Linked DNA regions of Medicago truncatula. The protein of the gene in region 1 interacts with the protein of each later gene in a pairwise test. Links are inferred from orthologs where the notes say so. Each region holds a gene or a part of one and is shown in the gene's direction. Other genes may lie near its edges. The genes, in order: cell division cycle 5-like protein and pre-mRNA-splicing factor SPF27 homolog.

Region 1 (10,822 bases):
GGTGTCTTGAATCTAATGAATGTTGAGGGCCTTACTATCTACCATGTAAAAAGCCACCTCCAGGTACATATATGGATTTTCCGTCCTCTTAAATTGAGCTTGTTGGTGTCGTCACTGGTGTGTATGTCGATTTTTATAATCTAATGTTGTTTATAAATTAATTGTTCTTTTAATTTCAGAAGTATAGAACTGCCAGATACAAACCTGAGTCACCAGAAGGTATACAAGAGTGTACTTGTAATCCTTATTGTTTTATACAGCAGGTTTTGCTACCAATTTTTTTTTGTGGATGTGTGGCTTCTTTATCCCCCTATAGTTTTGAGAAAGATGTTTTATTTCAACTTCAAATGTCTTTTTTGTATGTGTTCTTCTTCTTCTTCATGTCCTATGTTGGGATTGATAAAAAGAAGACATGGATGAAACACAAAAGATCATTTTAAAATTTGGAACAATCTCTTATTTGTTAAAGTGAAAAGGAAAGGTAGAGAAGAAAGAAAAGTGTAGAAGTAAAAATCCAATTATTCCTTTATTTAAAACTTCAAAAGTTTATCTACTTTCTCTCATTCAAAGGCAAGTGTAGAATGCTTTTTCCACCCTATTCTTGTTACATTTGAAGAATATTTGATGCACACAGAAACTTGATAGAAACCGGTACCAAACACATAAATATAATAGAAATAACTTAATTTTATTGATAATAGAATATGATTACACAATAGGCTGCTTAGGAATTCGAGATTCTTGGTCTCTCCCTCCAAGAATTCGAGGGCTTGGTCTCTTGCTATTGACATTGTCCTTCAGATTCCCTATTTATCTAGTAACTGCCTAGAAACATAACTGCTTCCTAATACATAACTGTTAGATATTAATGTAATAATGGCTGGCTAATAAAATAATAACTGCCTAATAATGTTTACTAACAGTAGGCCTAACAAAATTCCTTTCAAATTTTGTCAAAATATAAGAGTAAGAATGTGAATGGTGATTGAAATCTTCTTCTGTACCTGCAGAAACTTCTGAGAAAAAGATGAGTTCAATTGAGGAAATGAAATCTCTAGACTTGAAAACGTGAGTCATTTCTCTAACTTCTTTTAGCTTTAGACATGATACCTGTTGTTCACAAATCACAATTCCATTGTAGATGGTTGTTCCATGGGAAAAAAAAATCTTCATTGAAATGAACAATAATGCTCATAAACTTTCCTTGAATTATGGTTACAGGAGTAAGGGAATCACTGAAGCATTACGGTTGCAGATGGAACTCCAGAAGCGGCTTCACGAACAACTTGAGGTACATTATTGTTAGTATCACCCGGAACTTCAAGTCTTGGCATGTCCTGATATTGTTACTGTTATACAGATTCAAAGGAAGTTGCAGATTCAAATTGAAAACCAAGGGAAACATCTTGAGATGATGTTTGAGAAACAGAAACAGATTGGTGACAACAAGGGCCCTTCCCCTTCAAATGCACCTTCTGCTGCAGTGTTGGACACGACGCTGCCTTCTTCTCCGGTGGACAATTTAAAAACTTCAAAAGATGAATGCGATAAATCAGGATGTAACGCTGATATTCCTAAAGACATACCCGGAGAAAGTTCCCATGATGTAAGCAGAAAGCAAATGGCAGATGAAGCTGAAGTTACCAATGAACATGAGAGGGTAGATGATCAGTTTTCTGACGTACCTCCAACAAAACGAGCGAAGATTCAATGATGGCATCTAGAGACAACATGCTCGAATATCTCCTTCTGCTTATCATAATGATATAATCAACTTTAACAGTAGCCAGCAATGACTTAAACTTCATTTTTTGGGATGAAATAAATTTCACTCCCTAGATTTGTTTTATATTCTTGGACATGTTTTAGACCCCATGGAACTTGTAGATATAGTATTGGATCCATGAATGTTTCAACTAATGTGGTATTTACGTTTTATAAGGTTATTTTTCTGACAAGCATGCTTGAGGGTTTCGTTTTATGTAGGAATTTCCATGATGACTCTAACCTTTCAATGGTGATTTTCTGTTTTCTTCTTTGTAGATGAGAATGCAGCCCGTTCCCATTCTTTCCCTTATCTCTTTCTTCCTCTTCTTTCTCTCTACCTCTCTCTCCTTCAGCCTTTCTCTTTATCTCCTTTGGCCTCTTTCTTCTTTTCGCTCAGTTATCTTTCTCCCTCTTTGATTATTTTTCTTCTTTGGTTTGTGAGATACAGTAAGTGGGAAAGTGGATTTTGGGCCGGAGAGTGTTTTAAAATCAATTTTAAAAACTAGTTCAAAAATAAACCGGTTTGTAACGTTAAACTTGTTTAATAATAAAAATAATATTAGCAATAAAATATTATTTATATTTACTTTAGTAGGCCGGTCTAATAGGTTTAAGAGACTTTTTTATGATCTATTGACTTCTAAAGTTTGTATTTTTGTTGATCAATTTTTTTAGGCAAAAAAATAAAATTGGCAGGTTAAGAAAGAAAATTCATGTGGCAAGATTCTATGTCCACATCATTGTTTTATGTGCGACTACGATGCTAAATTACCAAAATATGAAGAATGCAAAATTACATGGATAAATTTGTGTTCTATTGCTTTTTTACATGAACTGTTTTTAACACACACACAATTCAGAAAAATTAAAATTTATTTCGTCGATGTTTTTGGTAAAAAAGATTTAGTTATTATAATTATAGGTGATAGAGAATATTATTTTTTTCTTCAAAAAATAACTCATTTAACTATTAATTTAAGGACTTGGTATACCAATACATTCAAATTTTTAGGTGTACCATAAAATTTCCCATATTTTAGAGGAATCCTATATGTTTTTATGCAACTATCTTATAATATTGATTTTTTAGAAGATCTTATAATATTGATGAAATGTGAATTTTTTGTTTTTATATGATTATTATAATTTGGATTTTGTTTATAAGAAAGCTAAATTTTAATAAATAATTGTATCAAAAAATACAATATCTATACTAGGGAGCCCCCCTAGAATGATCCTTAATATTAGGGGTTCACCCATGATCCTCTCAAAATTACCTTTAATAGCATGTTTTAAGAAAAGATATTATTTCTTGGTCCCACACAGAAAAAAAATTGATTTAAAATACAGCAATTGATATTACTTTTGCGTCCTTCCATTTAACACCAAAAATCCAGAAATGTAGAACAATTTCTCTCCTCTCTTTCACCTTCATCAATTGTATAACTCCACGGTTTTCTTCTATTTGATAAATACATGAATTGACCATGTTCTCAATTGATTTTATACCCTTCTAATTTTACCTTGTGTTTTGCTATTTTTCTTTGATTAATAACTGTGAAAGTTTAGTGTTTGATGTTTGTTTATTTGTTTTTGTGGAATATTACAGGAATCAGGGCCGTCTTAACAAATTCATAGGCCCGGTTTTAATTTTATAAGAGATGCAAAAAAAAAAAAAAACTGGGCCCAAAAAAATAAATAAGTTATTTAAAAAAAATAAATTTAAAATCACACTTTGGTGGATCTTGAACACATGACCTCACACTCAACAAAAAATAGCCACGCCACTAAGGCAAGCTGCACAAATTGATTAAATTTGCTTTTAATAGATATATAATCATTATTTTCGTGTCTTACATATAAAAAAAAATATTTTGGGCCGCAAAAAATTGGAGGCCCGGTGTCATCGCCCAGCCTCGACGGGCTATGGGCCGGCCCTGACAGGAATCGAAACAATTCCATGATAATGAGGATTCACAAACATGATTCCTTCATCACCGAGCCATATGTCGGTGTTCTAGGTTCATAAACCTTTCACCCTGGGAGCCATCAACAACAACAACAATGTGCAGACCCATCTTCAAATCAAGACAACAAAAAGAATGGAGAATTTGTTTTTGTTCATTTATTAGTTTTTAAGGCATTTGTTGTGAATCACTTTCTCATACTTGGATTTTGTGATGTTAATGGGAAGAAGAAAAATATGGAGAATTAAGAGAGAATACTGACGATGAAGAAAGAGAAAAGGTTTTGCACTTATGGTTTCTTGTTGTTAAAAGAAGGGCACAAAAGTAATATCAATTGTTGCAGTTAAAAAATGATGTTTTTTTGTGTGGGACCAAGAAAAGGTATTTTTTATTGAAACATGCTATTGAAGGTAATTTTGAGAGGATCATGGTGAACCCCTAATATTAAGGACCATATCAGGGGCTTCCTCTATACTAATATAAAGAAGAAGAATAATTCTTTGGATGATCTTCTTTTCTCTTTATCTCCTGTGAGCCGTCACGAAAACCCTAATTTCTTCTCCTTCATCCACCAAAGAGGGGTGATTTATGGTCAATTTTTGACCCAAAATCACCCCTCTATCTCGTTTTTCTCTTTCCCTTTTATTGAAATAAGTGATTTTCACATCTATTTCGTTTTTTATTTTGTGATTTCGTTGTCTTCGTGCGACGTTGGTTTGTTCGTCGTCTTTGTGCGACGTTGTTTGTTTTTCTTGTTTCTCTCAGGTATTTGATCGGTTCAGATTGTCAGATCAGTTTCGATCCAGTGCAGATCCAATCGATGACTTCGGCGGCATCCATGTTGCAGATCTGGAGACATGGTTATTCCGAAGATTTAAATATAGTCATATGTGTAGGCATTTGTACTTTGCCGTTTTATGCTATTAACATGGATGTTGTGAGTCTGTTCACATATTCATCCTTGATGTTTTTAGCGAATTTACATTATATCGATGTACTCTATCAATTTGAATGAATGAATGAATATCTTTTATTTTGTCAAAAAAAAAAAATCTCAGATGATCTTTTCATTTTTAATTATACTTTTAAACAAATTTGTATACAAGAATGCTATTTTGTTGGTATCATTCATAAAGATAAATTTTTTATATAATATTATTTTTAAGAAGATTTTATATAATATTTGTTTTTTTTAAAGAATATAATATTTATTATATTGTTTGTGTGTTACTTAATAAAACAAATATTATTTTCCTTTAAAAAAAAAATATTTGCGTCGTTGAAAAAAATAATATAGTTTGTTACATTATGAAAAGAGAATTGTTGTTGACACATCGCCATTGGCTGAGAAACACTGGTAATTTATCCAAATGCCCCTCGGCAGTTAACTGCCGAATTATGGAACCGGCTGCAGTTAACTCCCGAGGAAAACTTCGGCAGTAAACCACCGAGGAAAAATGAAAACTTCAGCAGTTAACTGCCGAGGAAACCTCAAACCTGTTTTTTTTTTTTGACAAAAACCATAAATTGTCATTAATAATATTTATTGATTTTGAATGTTTCAATCATTATTTTGGTATGTTTAAAACAATTGCAGTATTATACTTATGTGTATATATCTTATTAAGAATAACATTTAAATCAGTGTAAAAATTAAGCATTTAAATATTGTTTTGCACATTACTTAAATAAAAATAATAATAAAAAATCGTTAAAATAATTGTGCACAACGATTTTTTTTAAGGTATAATATATTGTTATATTTTCTACATTAAAATAATTGTGCACAAAGATTTTTTTTTTATTTAAGTAATTTGCAAAACAATATTCAAATGCTTAATTTTTACACTTATTAGGTCCATTAATTACCGAATGTAGATATTATTCATCTCTCATATTTCTTCATTTATGACAACAAAATCATATGAATGAAATCATAAAAATAATTATGTTTAATTCCTTAAAATGTTTAAAGAATTAAATTGAATTAAGGAAAATTTAGGTGTATTTCCTTATTTAATTTCAGGTTTGAAATTCCTCCGCAGTTAACTGACGAAGTTTTACTCGACATTAAATGCAGCCAGTTTTTTTAAATTTCGGCAGTTAAGTGCCGAAGGGTATTTGAGTAATTTACTCGTGTTTATCAGCTAAACCAAATATGTCAACAACAATACTCTTATGAAAATACAAAAATAGGACTCTCCACCGTGAAACCAAACCAAACAGGGCCTTACTCTCTTATCAGAACCCTAGTTTTCTATCTCGCGCTCTCACATTCTCATTCACCGCCGCATCGTCGTCTTCAGATCTATCGCCGCTGTCATCAAACCGCAGGTATCAATCCCTTGCTTCCCTCAATTTGTGTTTTCTACGTATTTTACGATTTTAACCTCTTATAATTCATTGATTTCCCTGTTTCTGCACATTACGCGATTTTCAGCCACTACAATTGATTTTCTAGGGTTTTCTCTTCCCTCTCTTCCGCTCACCCTAAATTTGGCCGACCCAGAACTTGATTTTTGGAATTGCATATTGTCATTGTTGATAATTTCAGATTGGTTGCGGTAGTTATATACCATTCATTTTTCTTGTTCCAAACCAACCCTTAATTGGATCATGTTTGTTAATTTTTCAGCTCTTTGACGCATTCACCACCGTCTCCAAACCGCAGGTATCATTTTCTCGCTTCTCTCAATTTGTGTTTTCTACCAATTTCGTGATTTTCAGCAATTATAATTGATTTCTGTTTATATATTTCTTCCTGTTGCAGTAAACGAGTCTTCTCCACCGGAGTTTTTCCTGTTCAACCTGTTTTGTGAGAGGAATACAAATAAAGTGTTGCCAAAATGAGGATTATGATTAAGGGAGGTGTTTGGAAAAACACCGAGGATGAAATCCTGAAAGCTGCTGTTATGAAATATGGTAAAAATCAGTGGGCTCGTATCTCGTCCCTACTTGTTCGCAAATCTGCAAAACAGTGTAAAGCTCGTTGGTATGAGTGGTTAGATCCTTCCATTAAGAAGACTGAGTGGACTCGAGAAGAGGATGAGAAGCTACTTCATCTTGCTAAGCTTATGCCTACTCAGTGGAGAACCATTGCTCCCATTGTTGGTCGTACTCCTTCGCAGTGTCTTGAACGGTATGAGAAACTCCTTGACACCGCTTGTGTTAAGGATGATAACTATGAACCTGGTGATGACCCTAGGAAATTGCGTCCGGGGGAGATTGATCCGAATCCTGAATCGAAGCCTGCACGACCTGATCCTGTTGATATGGATGAGGACGAGAAGGAGATGCTTTCCGAAGCACGTGCTCGGTTGGCTAACACGAAAGGTAAAAAAGCAAAAAGGAAAGCTAGGGAGAAACAGCTTGAGGAAGCAAGGAGGCTCGCTTCTTTACAGAAAAAGAGAGAACTGAAGGCTGCTGGGATTGATATAAGGCAGCGGAGGAGGAAAAGGAGAGGGATTGATTATAATGCAGAAATTCCGTTTGAGAAGAGGCCTCCTCCGGGTTATTTTGATGTTGCTGATGAGGATAGGGAGGTGGAGCAGCCTGCATTCCCTACTACTATTGAAGAACTTGAGGGGAAAAGAAGGATTGATGTTGAGGCACAGTTGAGAAAGCAAGACGTTGCAAGGAATAAAATTGCAGAGAGGCAAGATGCCCCAGCTGCTATTCTGCATGCCAACAAGCTGAATGACCCAGAAACAGTTAGAAAGAGATCAAAACTGATGCTTCCACCGCCTCAGATTTCCGATCAAGAATTGGATGAAATTGCCAAGTTGGGTTATGCCAGTGACCTTGTGGGCAGCGAGGAACTCACCGAAGGTAGCAGTGCTACCCGTGCTCTTCTCCCTAATTATCCACAGACACCCAACCAAGCCAAGACTCCTTTAAGAACTCCTCAGAGAACACCAGCTAGTAAAGGAGATGCTATCATGATGGAAGCTGAAAATTTGGCCAGGCTGAGGGAGTCTCAGACACCACTTTTAGGAGGAGAAAACCCGGAGTTGCATCCTTCAGATTTCTCTGGGGTCACTCCTAAGAAAAAGGAAATTCACACTCCAAACCCGCTGCTGACTCCCTCTGCAACCCCGGGAAGTGCAGGCCTTACTCCCAGAAGTGGTATGACACCGGCAAGGGATGGTTTTTCTTTTGGCATGACTCCGAAGGGAACTCCTCTCAGGGATGAGCTACATATCAATGAAGATATGGAGATGCGTGATAGTGCTAAGCTCGAGCTACGGAGACAAGCTGATATGAAAAAAAGTCTGCGCTCTGGTTTAAGCAGCCTTCCACAGCCTAAAAATGAGTACCAGATAGTGATGCAACCAATTCAAGAAGATGTTGAAGAGCCCGAGGAGAAGATTGAAGAGGATATGTCTGATAGAATGGCTAGAGAAAAGGCAGAAGAAGAGGCGCGGCAGCAGGCATTACTTAGAAAACGATCAAAAGTCCTTCAAAGGGAACTTCCTAGGCCTCCTCCAGCATCTCTGGAGCTTATTAGGAACTCCTTGATAAGAGCTGACGGAGACAAAAGTTCATTTGTTCCACCAACCCCTATTGAGCAAGCCGACGAGATGATAAGAAAGGAGCTTCTAGCCTTACTTGAGCATGACAATGCTAAGTATCCGCTTGAAGAGATAGCAAATAAGGAGAGAAAGAAAGGATCCAAACGAGCAGCAAATGGGCCTGCTATCCCTGTCATAGAAGATTATCAGGAGGACGAGATGAAATCTGTATGTTTTTACTAATTTTTCTGCTCACCTTTAATTTTGTTTTTATGCCTTTTACTTTGCTTTTCTTTATTTGCTACTAAGTAGCTTGTTCACCTTTTCACCCTTTGGTACACAATGTGATTTTTCATTTAGATGATACACATGCTTTTTCTGATGATCTTGACCTTGAAATTATTAGTACTTTGTCCAATTATTACTTGCCATTATCGATTTTATGCTGAAACCCCTTTTCACCCCTTCGAAACCACTGGAATCTTATGTAAAATTTAAATAGAAAAAATTTGGACATCTTTTTAATTTATGTATCATCTCCTTTTTGAACTAGTTGCATAATGTGGTGGCATGTAATATGTATTGTATCATCCTTGTTTTTTTTTTTTTTTTTTTTCCAGTTATAATCATTTGATTAATTAGGTTGAAGTTGGTTTTAGTTTCTCGTAATTGTTCTCCATTTCTTCTTTTGTGAATTCAGATAATTCCCCTCCTGATTCAGTCGTGATTCCCCAAGTTCCACCTTCCACTTTCATTTTTGTCACAAGTGATTCTTCAATTACCTTTTACAACATTTATTCCCTATTTATGTTAAGGGAAATGTTAACGAGTGCCCCTGGGGCACTCTTTAAGACCTTTAAATAGTAAATTTTTATGAGAATTATTGTATTTAATGCATTGGAAAATGAAACAATTAACCTTATTAGTGGATAATTTCTTGAATTAGAATGCTTAAAGAGTGCCCTGGGGGCACTTTTTAACAAGACCCATATGTTAATTCACCAAATGATAGTAATATAAACTTCCAAACTGCTTGTTAATTATTATTTGACTCCTTAAATATGACTATGGTATAATTGGAGATGAGCTTGTACGTTGATGAATGATAATATCTGCGTTGAATGTTATTTATTTATCTGTTTTTCTCAATAGGCTGATCAATTGATAAAAGATGAAGCCCAGTATCTTCGTGAGGCAATGGGGCATGAAAATGATTCCCTCGAGGAATTTGTTGAAGCACATACAACTTGCATTAATGATTTAATGTACTTTGATACCCGTAACGCTTATGGTCTATCAAGTGTTGCTGGAAATGCAGAGAAGCTAGCAGCTTTGCAGAATGAATTTGAGAATGTGAGAAGTAAGCTGGATGACGGGAAGGAGAAGTTGATTCGACTTGAGAAGAAGGTTACAACATTCACGCAAGGGTATGAGGTATGCTACTGCTAACTTGTATGCAAATTTCTACATTTTTGTTTCTTGCCGTGTTTTTTTCAATTATTGTTGGTGGCACATTTTGTAGTTGTCATGCCAGCTGGTTACCGGCTTTCATTTTCTTTCATGAGCAGTTAGTTTGCATCAATCTTACTGAGATTCTAGAGTGTTAATGTTGTCTGAATGCTCTTCAAAGTTGATTTTGTAATATAAAATGCTATACACCTAACTTAAAACTGTTGCAATTGATAATTTTTGGACCTCAACTAATCAGTAGGGTAGGAGATCATGGAGATCTGTTGGAATTGCATTTCATTATCGTGGGTGACCGGTGACATGTATTTTCTTTGTAATTTTAGAAATGCACAGAAAGTATGGTTTCAGTTCATTTTGTTTTTTGAGATTGATGTTTGACATTGTAGTTTCTTTCGACCTTGTTTGGCATTCCCATGGCATATAATGGATGATAGAAAAAGTTAACATAATATGTTGACTTCATGTAATGTATGGTGCAAGCGTAGTCTTGTGTTAATCTGATCCAATAGCTTAAGTTTTAAGGATGGAGGATCAGCTTGATTAGAATTTGGTGTGTAGTCTCATGAAATAGTGTTGTCAAATAGCGGCATCGTAGTGCTATAGCTTACATGGATATGGGTAATATATCTATAGTATATTCTTTAATAAAGATTATTTTTGTTAAAGACATCAATTTTTAATGTATCCATTGTTGTACAGTATAACACAGGCTAGTGTTAAAATTATACAATAATATGTCCTGCCAAAAAAAACAGACTTGATTTTTTAGTTGAGGTCGTAGTGGTCATGGGGTTTACTTAAGGCTGTGGGAGAATTGTCTCAGCAATTTTTAGTGTTTGTTTCTTTAACTCCTGAAGTTAAGAGAAGGAGTGGACTGACGCTGATCTGGCGCATTGTGCTATGGATTATCTTGGATCGAGGAATGATTGTATTTTTCTAACTCAGTTGTCGAGGCTCCAGTTTTTGTGGAGCAGATTAAGGTGGACTCATGGAAATGGTTACTACCAAGGGCGAAAGGAGGAAGGGGTCTTTATAATAGTGGGTGGATCCTCTCAATTGTTTATTAAGGTTGTAGTCTCTATAGTGTGTAAGCTGGTGGGTGTAATC
Region 2 (10,863 bases), on another chromosome or scaffold:
GTTGGACTAGCTTATAAGCTTGTTTTGATAAAATGAGATGTGTTTGGTAAAAAGCTTTTCTCACTAGCTTATAGCGTTTTTTAAGAAGCTAATCCAAGTAGTTTTTTAGCTTATAGCTTGTAGCTTTTTATACTTTCTTCCCATTTTAACCTTTTCTTAATTTTATTTTATTTTATTATAATAAAAAAAAACTACCCACTATCTTCTTAAACTAACCATGTTTACCATGTATGGCTTTTTAAATTTTCTTGTCCACTATTTTTTTTTTTTTTTACTTTGCTCATAATTCATATAATATATAATTTTATATAAAATTTATAATAAATAGTGAAGCACGTTTAGTTAAATAAAATTCATAAAAATAAAATAAAAATTGTTAAATAAAAAAATTCGATTGAATTCATAAATACATTTATTATTTTGGAGATGAAAATAATTTGAAATATATTTAAATATTTAAAAATAAATGCGTTAAGTGATAAAAATTATATATATGATATTAAAACAAATTAATCAAGCATGTCCTTTTATGTCATTTTATATTTATAGTCACTTCAACAACTAATTTTACCAAACACTTTTAATTTTAATCAGCTAACTTTTCAGCTATAAGTTATCAACCATCGGCTATAAGCTAGCTTTTCAGCTATCAGCTAGCTTATAGCTTTTTTTTACCAAACACACCCTAAGTGTACAAATTGGTTCATCTCCTATTGAAACAACAGTAAAAAACTAAAAAAAAATTGACTTTCTTATTCTATTGAAACAGCAGTGAAAAAAAAATTGAGAGAACGAGAACCCTGCTCAATATTATTTATTTATTTTTTTGGAAAACTTCACTCATCCAAATTACCAATTCAGACGCATTTTTCATCTCATCTTGCACGTCTCGTACGAATTTTTTTAGTATCGTATACAAAATTGCAAGGTAGAGAACCTTGTTATAGATTCTTGGTCTTTTAAGAAAATATATGTTTACTCAAATGTTCCTTTTAAAATCTTCGCTACAAATAGACATTTATATAGGCTAATATGCCATGCTAAACTTAAAATAAAGCTTTCGAGTTTTGACTTTTGACAGCTATCCGTCTAAATCTTTTTTATACTGGGTTTTTGTTCTTTAAGCAAAGTTCGGCAAGGTAGGATCATCTCTATTTTATACTTTACCTACTTCTTCTATATGGAGAGATAAATAAACAATTAAATTTTAAAAAAAATGTAAATAATTAATAAGGGTGTGTAACAAAAAAAAAACTGTAACAGTTGCAAGAGTAAAAGATAATTTGTTGTTTGTTTTAGTAACTAAGTTGCAAGAGTAAAAGTTGAGAGTAATAAAACGTAAAATTTGTTAGGATTAGAGTTCTTTAATCAAGCGTCGCACGTAACCTAATGACCATACATGGATTCTAGTTTTTCTTTGATATTATCATGTAACCCTCGATAACACCATTCGTGTCCGAACAATATTGTGAGATCAATTGTACCATTCAATAGTCGATGTTTCAAACTATTGAATGATTCAAGAGTCGGTCTTATCATTTAATCGATGATTTCTCAATCTATTGAATGATAAGAAAGCTTTAAGTTTGGATACAAAAGGTGATTATCAAAACATCAATTCAATGTCTAGAACTTATGTTTTGATAGATGATTATTCTAAACCTAGATTCAAAAGTATTTCTCAATCACAATTAAATCAAACATAAGCATTAAAGTGCAAGAATAACATCAATATCAAATCAAATGCTAGAACCATATATTTATAGATCAAAAGATTACATGTTTAGCTAAGATCAAGTACCTCTAATCCCAACAAAGGAGATTTAGCTACTCCTTGTCATTGAAGCCTTGCAAAAATGAATTGAAAGAGAATGATTCATTACAAACTTGTGATCTCTCAACAAATGAGGAAGAATCCACTTTCTATCACTCTCACTCTATGAAGAACAATCCCTATCTCTCTCTCTAAAAGTATTACAAGTTAAAAACTATGAGAAAAACTAAGATCCCCAATGAAATGATTAAAAGGGCTATTTATAGAATTCTTAATCTACATCAACTCGCCTCGCGAGTAACTCCATTCGCCATGGCGAGTTGATGTTTCTTCACCATTAAGTTTGAGCCACGTCACCCTTGAGAAGTTTAGGCCGCCCTAACTCGCCTCGCGAGTAAATTCACTCGCCATGGCGAACCTACTCGCCATTGCGAGTTGGTGGCGACTGAATAGGTTCTGCTCGCTTTTGCTGCTCACCATGGCGAGTTGGAGGCGAGTGACTTCATTTTTCTGCCTATTTGTACTTTTCTCCATTTTTTCTCTTTGTTTGATGTATTGAGTTCAAATCCTGCACAAATGGGTGAAGTAAGATAAATAAAGCGTAAAAGGGTAATAATCACTTATCTCTCGGCTTTTCCCTCAATAACTTGCAAAACAAGTAATAAAAGTGCTTTGAATATTCATTTAAAATACAACTTTCTAGCACTTATCAATAGTCTAGTAGATAGATATTCATCTTTTTAGAGTGAATAAAGGAGGTGTCTAAAATTCAAAGATAAGCTATACGAAACTTTCTTTACAAAATTTTGTTAAAAGAAATTTTAGCCAATTTTTTTATATTCTAACCTTTTATTTGCTCATACCTCATCAATCACTAATTTTAGAGTATTTTTATTATTTAATTTTTGATATTTTTATTTGTCAGTGTTTAATTTAGAGTCAATTAGAATAAATTGTTGCCTTCTTTATAGTTGCATATTCTGAACTCTTTAGGAACCAAGGTAATATAATGACGAAACATATGAATTTTTGAGTTTTCGGATTCATATTATATAATCTTAATATGGGTAAATTTGAAAACTTTGAGTGCGCATGAGAGGTTTGAGACCTTCGGATCAGGTCCCATCCAGAACAATTTGTGCATGTGTTTGGTTCCATTGTGGTGTTTTGAAAGAGAGTTGGGCATATCATAATTTATGTTCGGATATGTCAACTGAAAATATGATTTTGAGTACCGTAATTACCAAAATGAATTTAAATGTTTATTTCTTTTGAAATATATAAGGAGAACGTATTTTACTTTCTATGAAGTAAATGGGTTGTTTTTGAAAAAGTTTTTTATAGATTACCTTTGAAGAATAATGGATAATTTACCCACCAACCAATGAAAATGAGCAATTTGTTGGTGGGGTCAAGATAGTTCATGGATACCACTTAAAAATGTGCTTATGTGGCTAATGTGTATTGATTATAATAAATTACCCATCATTCTTCCATGGGTACCCTAATTCTCACCTTTTGAAAAATTACATAAACGGGTGGGTTTCGGGTTTTTTGGTACGTTGTCTCTAACTAACCTAGAGACCGAGGATAGAGAAAGGGTTTGAGAGAATTGTTGTTCCCACATTTGGTTTGGCTGTGCCACACGAGTAAATTACTCAAATGCCCTTCGGTAGTAAACTGCCGAAGTTTTTAGGAAACCGGCGGCAGTTAACTGCCGAGGAAAACCTCGGTAATTAACTGCCGAGGAAAATGTTATAAGAACAGAACTGCATAGGAGTTTCCAAAACTCCATTGTTGTGTTTTGAATTATCCAAGGTGCGATTTTGAGTCATTTGAAGCCATTACAAGCCAATTTCAATCACAAAAACAAGTAAGTTTTTTGAATCCTATTGCATTGTTGCTTTGTGGTCGAATTGTATGTTATTTTTTGTTAAATTTCGATTATATAGGTTTGATTATATTGATTTGTTGATTTTATGATATGTTAGGATAGTTTAGGTTAGAATGGTTAGAATTGTTAGGATAGTTTAGGTTAGTATAAGTTGAATTGATCGCCATTTTTTTTTTAATGTAGATATGTCTCAGAATCAGAATCAGGGTAACGTTCACGGTGATGAGAAGAAAAAAGAAAAATCACCTATGACGTGGCATGAAATTGTTTGCGATGGTTCCGAAAAAAAGAAGGGTTCGAAGGTGCCAGTGTACAATCACTCGAGGTTGGGGAGGAGCGGAAGGACATGCTATTTCGGTCCTCAACCAAAACAAGGTACCGCATGGACTGTAGCGGACAAGCCGATTGATTTGTGTGACGAGGAAGAATGAATGTAATGACTTTTAATGCCTAATTGTTTTGGATTTTTTTATGTTTTATTTTTGTGTCGCGCACATTTTGTTTGACATTATGGTATTTAGAATAAAATTGCATTTGGAATAAATAAATTTGAAAACAAAATAAGATATAAAAGTGTATATAATAATTAAACAAACACACATTTAAAGAAAATAATTAAACATAAAAAATAGAATTAAAAAAAAACACATATAAAAGTGGATATAATAATTAAACAAACACACATTTAAATTAAAGAAAATATTTTAACATAAAGAAAAAACAATTAAAAAAAATACACTTACATTATTTGAATTATACCAGAGTGGCAACGCCACATGACCGACATAAGTGTGGAGCAAGGACAAGTCAGCCGGTCCACCAGGAAAGGGAGGGTCCACAGGTAACACCTCCGGTGCAGCAGCTGCTGCAATGTCATCCTCGTCTCCTGCATCCTGCTGCTGTGGTATATGATCCTGGTCATATCCACCATCAGTCACATCATGCTGTACCTGATCCTGATAGTTCAGGTACTCCACACCAGTCTGGTCAACAGGCTGTGACGGGTCAACAACTTGTGACTCCTCAGGCTGTGTAGCCTTTTGGGATGTGGCCGCTCTGCCTCTCCCTCCGGTGACTCTGAGTCATCGCACGCCTACCACCAATCATCTTAGATGGATCAATGGGGTCCTGATCAGCCATATCTACAAAAAAAAAAAAATTAACATCATTTCTATAACCTAATCAAACACATTAAACCTAAACTAAACTAAACATAAACAAAATTAAACTCATTAAAAGTACAACAATGAACATCATTTCCATAACCTAAAATCATTTAATATAATCATCATTACAATAAAATTTATGTCTATCATTTTCATAATAACCTAAACATCATTCAATAATTAACATACACTTAATCATTTCTATACAACTAAATCATTTGTGTCCATCATAATTCTCCTAACCTAAACTAACTAAAAAATCAAAATACACTTAACCAAACTATAATTAACATCATTTCTATCATTTCCATAACTAAACTAACTAAATAATCAATAAAATTGTCATTGAGACATTTTATCAAACACTTTGTGTGCAAAAATTCAAATTGTGTTCATTTGCCACCATTCAAAGCCACATTAAGATTTAAACAACATAGGCAACAACTACATTCAATTATCAATTTCTAAACTACACATGCAATCATCAAATTGTCAATTTTGAAATCAACCCTAACCACATACAAACTACTCTAATTTTTTTAAAAAAATCAACCTAAACAAATTAACATTAACATTAAAATGATTGACACAACTTACTTGTGATAATGTGCACTTGATTTGCTTGCAATTCGTGAAAATGGATTTGGTGAAGATTGGAGAGAAATTGAGAATTTAGAAGGTTTTTTGGAAATGAAAGGTTCTGGTTCTGGTTCAGTATTCCTCGGCAGTTAACTGCCGCCGGTTTCCTAATTGCTATCAAAGGGCATTTGAGTAATTTACTCGTGTGGCACAACCAATCTAAACCTGGGAACAGCAATTCTCAAAGGGTTTTCGCTTTAAAACTGAATCGTCATTCATCAAATGCCATAAACGAAAGGGTAAAAATCGACGCAACAGTAAACCATGATGGGAGAAGGAAGAAGCAGCAGCAGCAACAGCAACAGCAACGGTGATGTTCTGATGCTTGAAGCTCCACCTTCTTACGGTAGGTCTAGCCATTCCGATGCCGAAATCATCGACGCATTGCCTTACATCGACGACGATTACAGCGACCCAAGGGTTAAGATCGAAGTCGACCGTCTCGTTGAAGAAGAGATGCGCCGCAGCTCCAAAAAACCCGCGGATTTCCTTAAAGATTTTCCACCTCTTCCCTCTTCCAATTTTCATGTAATTAGCCACACTCTTTCTCCGTTAGGGTTTTTGTTTTTTTTTTCTCTTTTAGATTTACGATTCTATTATCTGAAATTGTTGCTTCAGGATTATCCAATGATTGGTAGAGAATACGAGCGTGTAAGAGCTGGTAGGCCTCCTGTTTCTCTTGATAGGTCCAGATATGAATTAGAAGCTCCACCTGTTAATAAAAGGAACGATGAAACTGCTTGGAAACTTGCTATTCAACGAGCTCAACGACTTCTTCAATATCAAACCATCAGGTCTTCAATTTATATGTTTTTAATAAGTATGTTTTGACATTCATATTATCATTAACTTGTTTAACTAACTATTTAAGTTAATATGCAGAATGGAAAATTTGGATTTGTTGTTTAAACATGGCCCTGATGCATGGAAACAGCACAATCAACGATTGGAAGTATACTTGTCAAGGTTTGTTTGTTCATCCAATTATTGTGGCTCATATTTAGAGTAAACTGTTGAATTTTACATTTGTTGCTGTGTGGATTCAGTATGTTTTGTTCACTCTCTGCCTGTACCTGTGCAAATTTTGCTTATTTCATACCTTAGCACATGACATGAACATTCTTACATACCTCAGATTAAGCTTTTTGTTGAATTGGTTCTTGAGAGTCACTTTGGATAGGATAGGAATGTTTCTCAGTAAATGTGGTACTTGAGGTTGACGGCTTTAGATGACAACCTCGGATGTTGTATGCAATGCAATACCCTACTGGTTGGTGGAATGATAACGTTTTTGTTTTTGGATTTTAAGACTTTATTAGCTACAAAAGAAGAAAGAAAATCTCTTGAGGAAATCGTTGACCTCTACGTCCCTCTTAATCGTCTCAACCTTGATTCATTAGATACGTTCTTGACTCTAGCCTCTCCAAGTTCACTAAAGGCACCAGTCTATATTTTTCATTTTCATTTTCATTTCCACACACAACACAGCTGGCAATGATGATAAACATGCCGGTCTTACGGCTACCATTTACTTCTTTGGTAGTAGATTGATTACTTTCATGTTTAGGGTTTTCTGAGCCTGTTTTATTCATCTTTTTCTTATAAGTTTTTAATTTTTCCTTTTTTCAAAACAAGGTTGAATTTCTACATCTATGTCTTCTATCATGGGTCACTCTATTTTTTAATGAATAAGGTCAATGATTTCCTTCTATTTTCCTCCTGAATCAAGGTCAATCATGGTTGAAATTCTTCATATTTTTCTCTTGAAGAAATCAAGGTCAATCAGTGCTCTGTGGTAAATTATTTTGTACCTGCGCATCATTTGCTTACTTCATACATTTGCAAATGAAAATTCTGACATACCTGCATTAGGTTCTGTATGACTAAATTGTACATAGAATACTTCGTTCCTTTCTGTTTTAAATTTCTTCCCTAGTGCAATCGGCTTAAGCTTTTTGTTGAATTGGTTCTTGAGAGTGATTCTGCAGATAGGAATGTTTCATAGTAAATATGGTACTTGAGCATGACAGCCTTGGTTGTTGTATGCAATATCCTGCTGGTGGTGGAATCATAATGTTCTATTTTAATTAATTTTTTGGACTTTAAGACCTTATTAGCTAGAAAAGAAGAAATCTCTTAAGGAAATCATTGACCTCTACGTCCTTCTTAATCGTCCCAACCTTGATTCAATAAATATGTTCTTGACTCTGGCCTCCCCAAGTTCACTAGAGGCACAGGTCCATATTTTTTATTTTCATTTTCAAACGAAATACAAAGTCTGTTCCTTTAACTGGCAATGATGATAAAAGGCCGGTCTTACGGCTGCCATTTACTTATTGGTAGTAGATTGATTACTTTAAGGTTTAGGGTTTTCTGAGCCAGTTTTATTCACTTTTTTATTCTAAGTTTTTAATTTTCCCTTTTCAAAACAAGGTTGAAATTCTACATCCTTGTCTTCAATCGTGGGTCATTCTATTTTTTTATGAATAAGGTCAATGCTTTCCTTCTATTTTTCTCCTGAATCAAGGTCAGTCATGGTTGAAATTCTTCATATTTTTCTCTTGAAGAAATCCAGTGACAAAAATGAGATCAGTGCTCTGCGGTAAATTATTTTGTATCTGTACATCATTTGCTTACTTATACGTTAGCTAAAGAAAATTCTGACATACCTGCATTGGGTTCTGTATGACTGAATTGTACATGGAATACTTCGTTCCTTTTTGTTTTAAATTTCTTCCCTAGAGCAATCGGCTTAAGCTTTTTGTTGAATTGGTTCTTGAGAGTGATTCTGCAGTTAGGAATGTTTCATAGTAAATATGGTACTTGAGCATGACAGCCTTGGTTGTTGTATGCAATATCCTGCTGGTTGGTGGAATGATAATGTTCTAATTTAATTAATTTTTTGGACTTTAAGACCTTATTAGCTAGAACAGAATAAATCTCTTAAGGAAATCATTGACCTCTACGTCCTTCTTAATTGTCCCAACCTTGATTCAATAAATATGTTCTTGACTCTGGCCTCCCCAAGTTCACTAGAGGCACAGGTCCATATTTTTCATTTTCATTTTCAAACGAAATATAAAGTCTGTTCCTTTAACTGGCAATGATGATAAAAGGCCGGTCTTACAGCTGCCATTTACTTATTGGTAGTAGATTGATTAGTTTCAGGTTTAGGGTTTTCTGAGCCAGTTTTATTCACCTTTTTATTCTAAGTTTTTAATTTTCCCTTTTCAAAACAAGGTTGAAATTCTACATCTTTGTCTTCAATCATGGGTCATTCTATTTTTTTATGAATAAGGTCAATGCTTTCCTTCTATTTTTCTCCTGAATCAAGGTCAGTCATGGTTGAAATTCTTCATATTTTTCTCTTGAAGAAATCCAGTGACAAAAATGAGATCAGTGCTCTGCGGTAAATTATTTTGTATCTGTGCATCATTTGCTTACTTATACGTTAGCTAAAGAAAATTCTGACATACCTGCATTGGGTTCTGTATGACTGAATTGTACATGGAATACTTCGTTCCTTTTTGTTTTAAATTTCTTCCCTAGAGCAATTGGCTTAAGCTTTTTGTTGAATTGGTTCTTGGGAGTGATTCTGCAGTTAGGAATGTTTCATAGTAAATATGGTACTTGAGCATGACAGCCTTGGTTGTTGTATGCAATATCCTGCTGGTTGGTGGAATGATAATGTTCTAATTTAATTAATTTTTTGGACTTTAAGACCTTATTAGCTAGAACAGAAGAAATCTCTTAAGGAAATCATTGACCTCCACGTCCTTCTTAATCGTCCCAACCTTGATTCAGTAAATATGTTCTTGACTCTGGCCTCCCCAACTTCACTAGAGGCACTGGTCCATATTTTTCATTTTCATTTTCAAACGAAATACAAAGTCTGTTCCTTTAACTGGCAATGATGATAAAAGGCCGGTCTTACGGCTGCCATTTACGTATTGGTAGTAGATTGATTACTTTAAGGTTTAGGGTTTTCTGAGCCAGTTTTATTCACCTTTTTCTTCTAAGTTTTTAATTTTCCTTTTTCAAAACAAGGTTGAAATTCTACATCTTTGTCTTCAATCATGGGTCATTCTATTTTTTTATGAATAAAGTCAATGATTTCCTTCTATTTTTCTCCTGAATCAAGGTCAGTCCTGGTTGAAATTCTTCATATTTTTCTCTTGAAGAAATCCAGTGACAAATGAGATCAGTGCTCTGCAGTAAATTATTTTGTATCTGTACATCATTTGCTTACTTATACGTTAGCTAAAGAAAATTCTGACATACCTGTGTTTGTTCTGTATGACTGAATTGCACATAGAATACTTTGTTCTTTTCTGTTTTAAATTTCTTCCCTAGAGCAATTGGCTTAAGCCGCGGATAGGAATGTTTCACAGTAAATATGGTACTTGAGCTTGACAGCCTTGGTCGGTTTTGTATGCAACTGCTGGTTGGTGGAATGATAATGTTCTAATTTTTATACTTAATTTTTTTGGATTTTAAGACATTATTAGCTACGGAAGAAGAAATCTCTTGAGGAAATCATTGATTTCTACGTTCTTCTTAATCGTTTCAACCTTGATTCATTAAATGTGTTCTTGACTTTGGCCTCCCCAAGTTCGCTAGAGGCACCAATCCATATTTTTCAGTTTCCTTTTCAAACAAAACACAAAGTATGTTACTTTAACTGGCAATGATGATATAAGTTCGGTCTTACCGCTACCATTTACTTCTTTGGTAGTAGATTGATTACTTTCATGTTTAGGGTTTTCTGAGCCAGTTTTATTCACCTTTTTCTTCTAAGTTTTTATTTTTTCCTTTTTTCAAAAGGTTGAAATTCTACATCATGGGTCATTCTATTTTTTAATGAATAAGGTCAATGATCTCCTCCTATTTTTCTCTTGAATCAAGGTCAATCATGGTTGAAATTCTTCATATTTTTTCTCTTGAAGAAATCTAGTGACAAAAACGAGATCAGTGCTCTGTGGTAAATTATTTTGTACCTGTGCATCATTTGCTTACTTCATATGTTGGCTAAAGAAAATTCTGACATACCTGCGTTTGTTCTGTATGACTGAATTGTACATATAATACTTTGTTCCTTTCTGTTTTAAATTTCTTCGCTAGTGCAATTGACTAAAGCTGCGGATAGGAATGTTTCACAGTAAATATGGTACTTGAGCTTGCAGCTTTGGTTGTTGTTGTATGCAACTGCTGGTTGGTGGAATGATAATGTTCTATTTTTTTTTTTTTTTTTTTTTTGGATTTTAAGATCTTATTAGCTACAAAAGAAGGAAACCCCTTGAGGAAATCACCGACCTCTACGTCCTTCTTAATCGTTTCAACCTTGATTCATTGAATATGTTCTTGACTATGGCCTCTCCAAGTTCACTAGA

The links.
Region 2: the proteins of cell division cycle 5-like protein (region 1) and pre-mRNA-splicing factor SPF27 homolog interact in binary tests that used the Arabidopsis thaliana proteins (3 or more experiments, as listed by UniProt). The link is inferred for Medicago truncatula from reciprocal best matches to the Arabidopsis thaliana genes CDC5 and MOS4.

The regions. Positions count from the first base shown.
Region 1 is NC_053048.1:54,778,505-54,789,326, forward strand, and holds the start of cell division cycle 5-like protein, read left to right. Parts: upstream 1-5,919; 5' UTR 5,920-6,068; intron 6,069-6,369; 5' UTR 6,370-6,405; intron 6,406-6,504; 5' UTR 6,505-6,580; coding exon 6,581-8,473; intron 8,474-9,397; coding exon 9,398-9,679; intron 9,680-10,822. Other genes in the region: protein PHR1-LIKE 1, read left to right, coding at 1-63, 180-219, 1,011-1,068, 1,222-1,291, 1,361-1,714. UniProt on the Arabidopsis thaliana protein: Component of the MAC complex that probably regulates defense responses through transcriptional control and thereby is essential for plant innate immunity. Possesses a sequence specific DNA sequence 'CTCAGCG' binding activity.
Region 2 is NC_053049.1:49,194,076-49,204,938, reverse strand, and holds the start of pre-mRNA-splicing factor SPF27 homolog, read left to right. Parts: upstream 1-5,661; 5' UTR 5,662-5,737; coding exon 5,738-6,001; intron 6,002-6,091; coding exon 6,092-6,267; intron 6,268-6,355; coding exon 6,356-6,439; intron 6,440-6,962; exon of another isoform or gene 6,963-7,055; intron 7,056-7,764; exon of another isoform or gene 7,765-7,855; intron 7,856-8,571; exon of another isoform or gene 8,572-8,662; intron 8,663-9,378; exon of another isoform or gene 9,379-9,469; intron 9,470-10,155; exon of another isoform or gene 10,156-10,247; intron 10,248-10,863. UniProt on the Arabidopsis thaliana protein: Component of the MAC complex that probably regulates defense responses through transcriptional control and thereby is essential for plant innate immunity. Involved in mRNA splicing.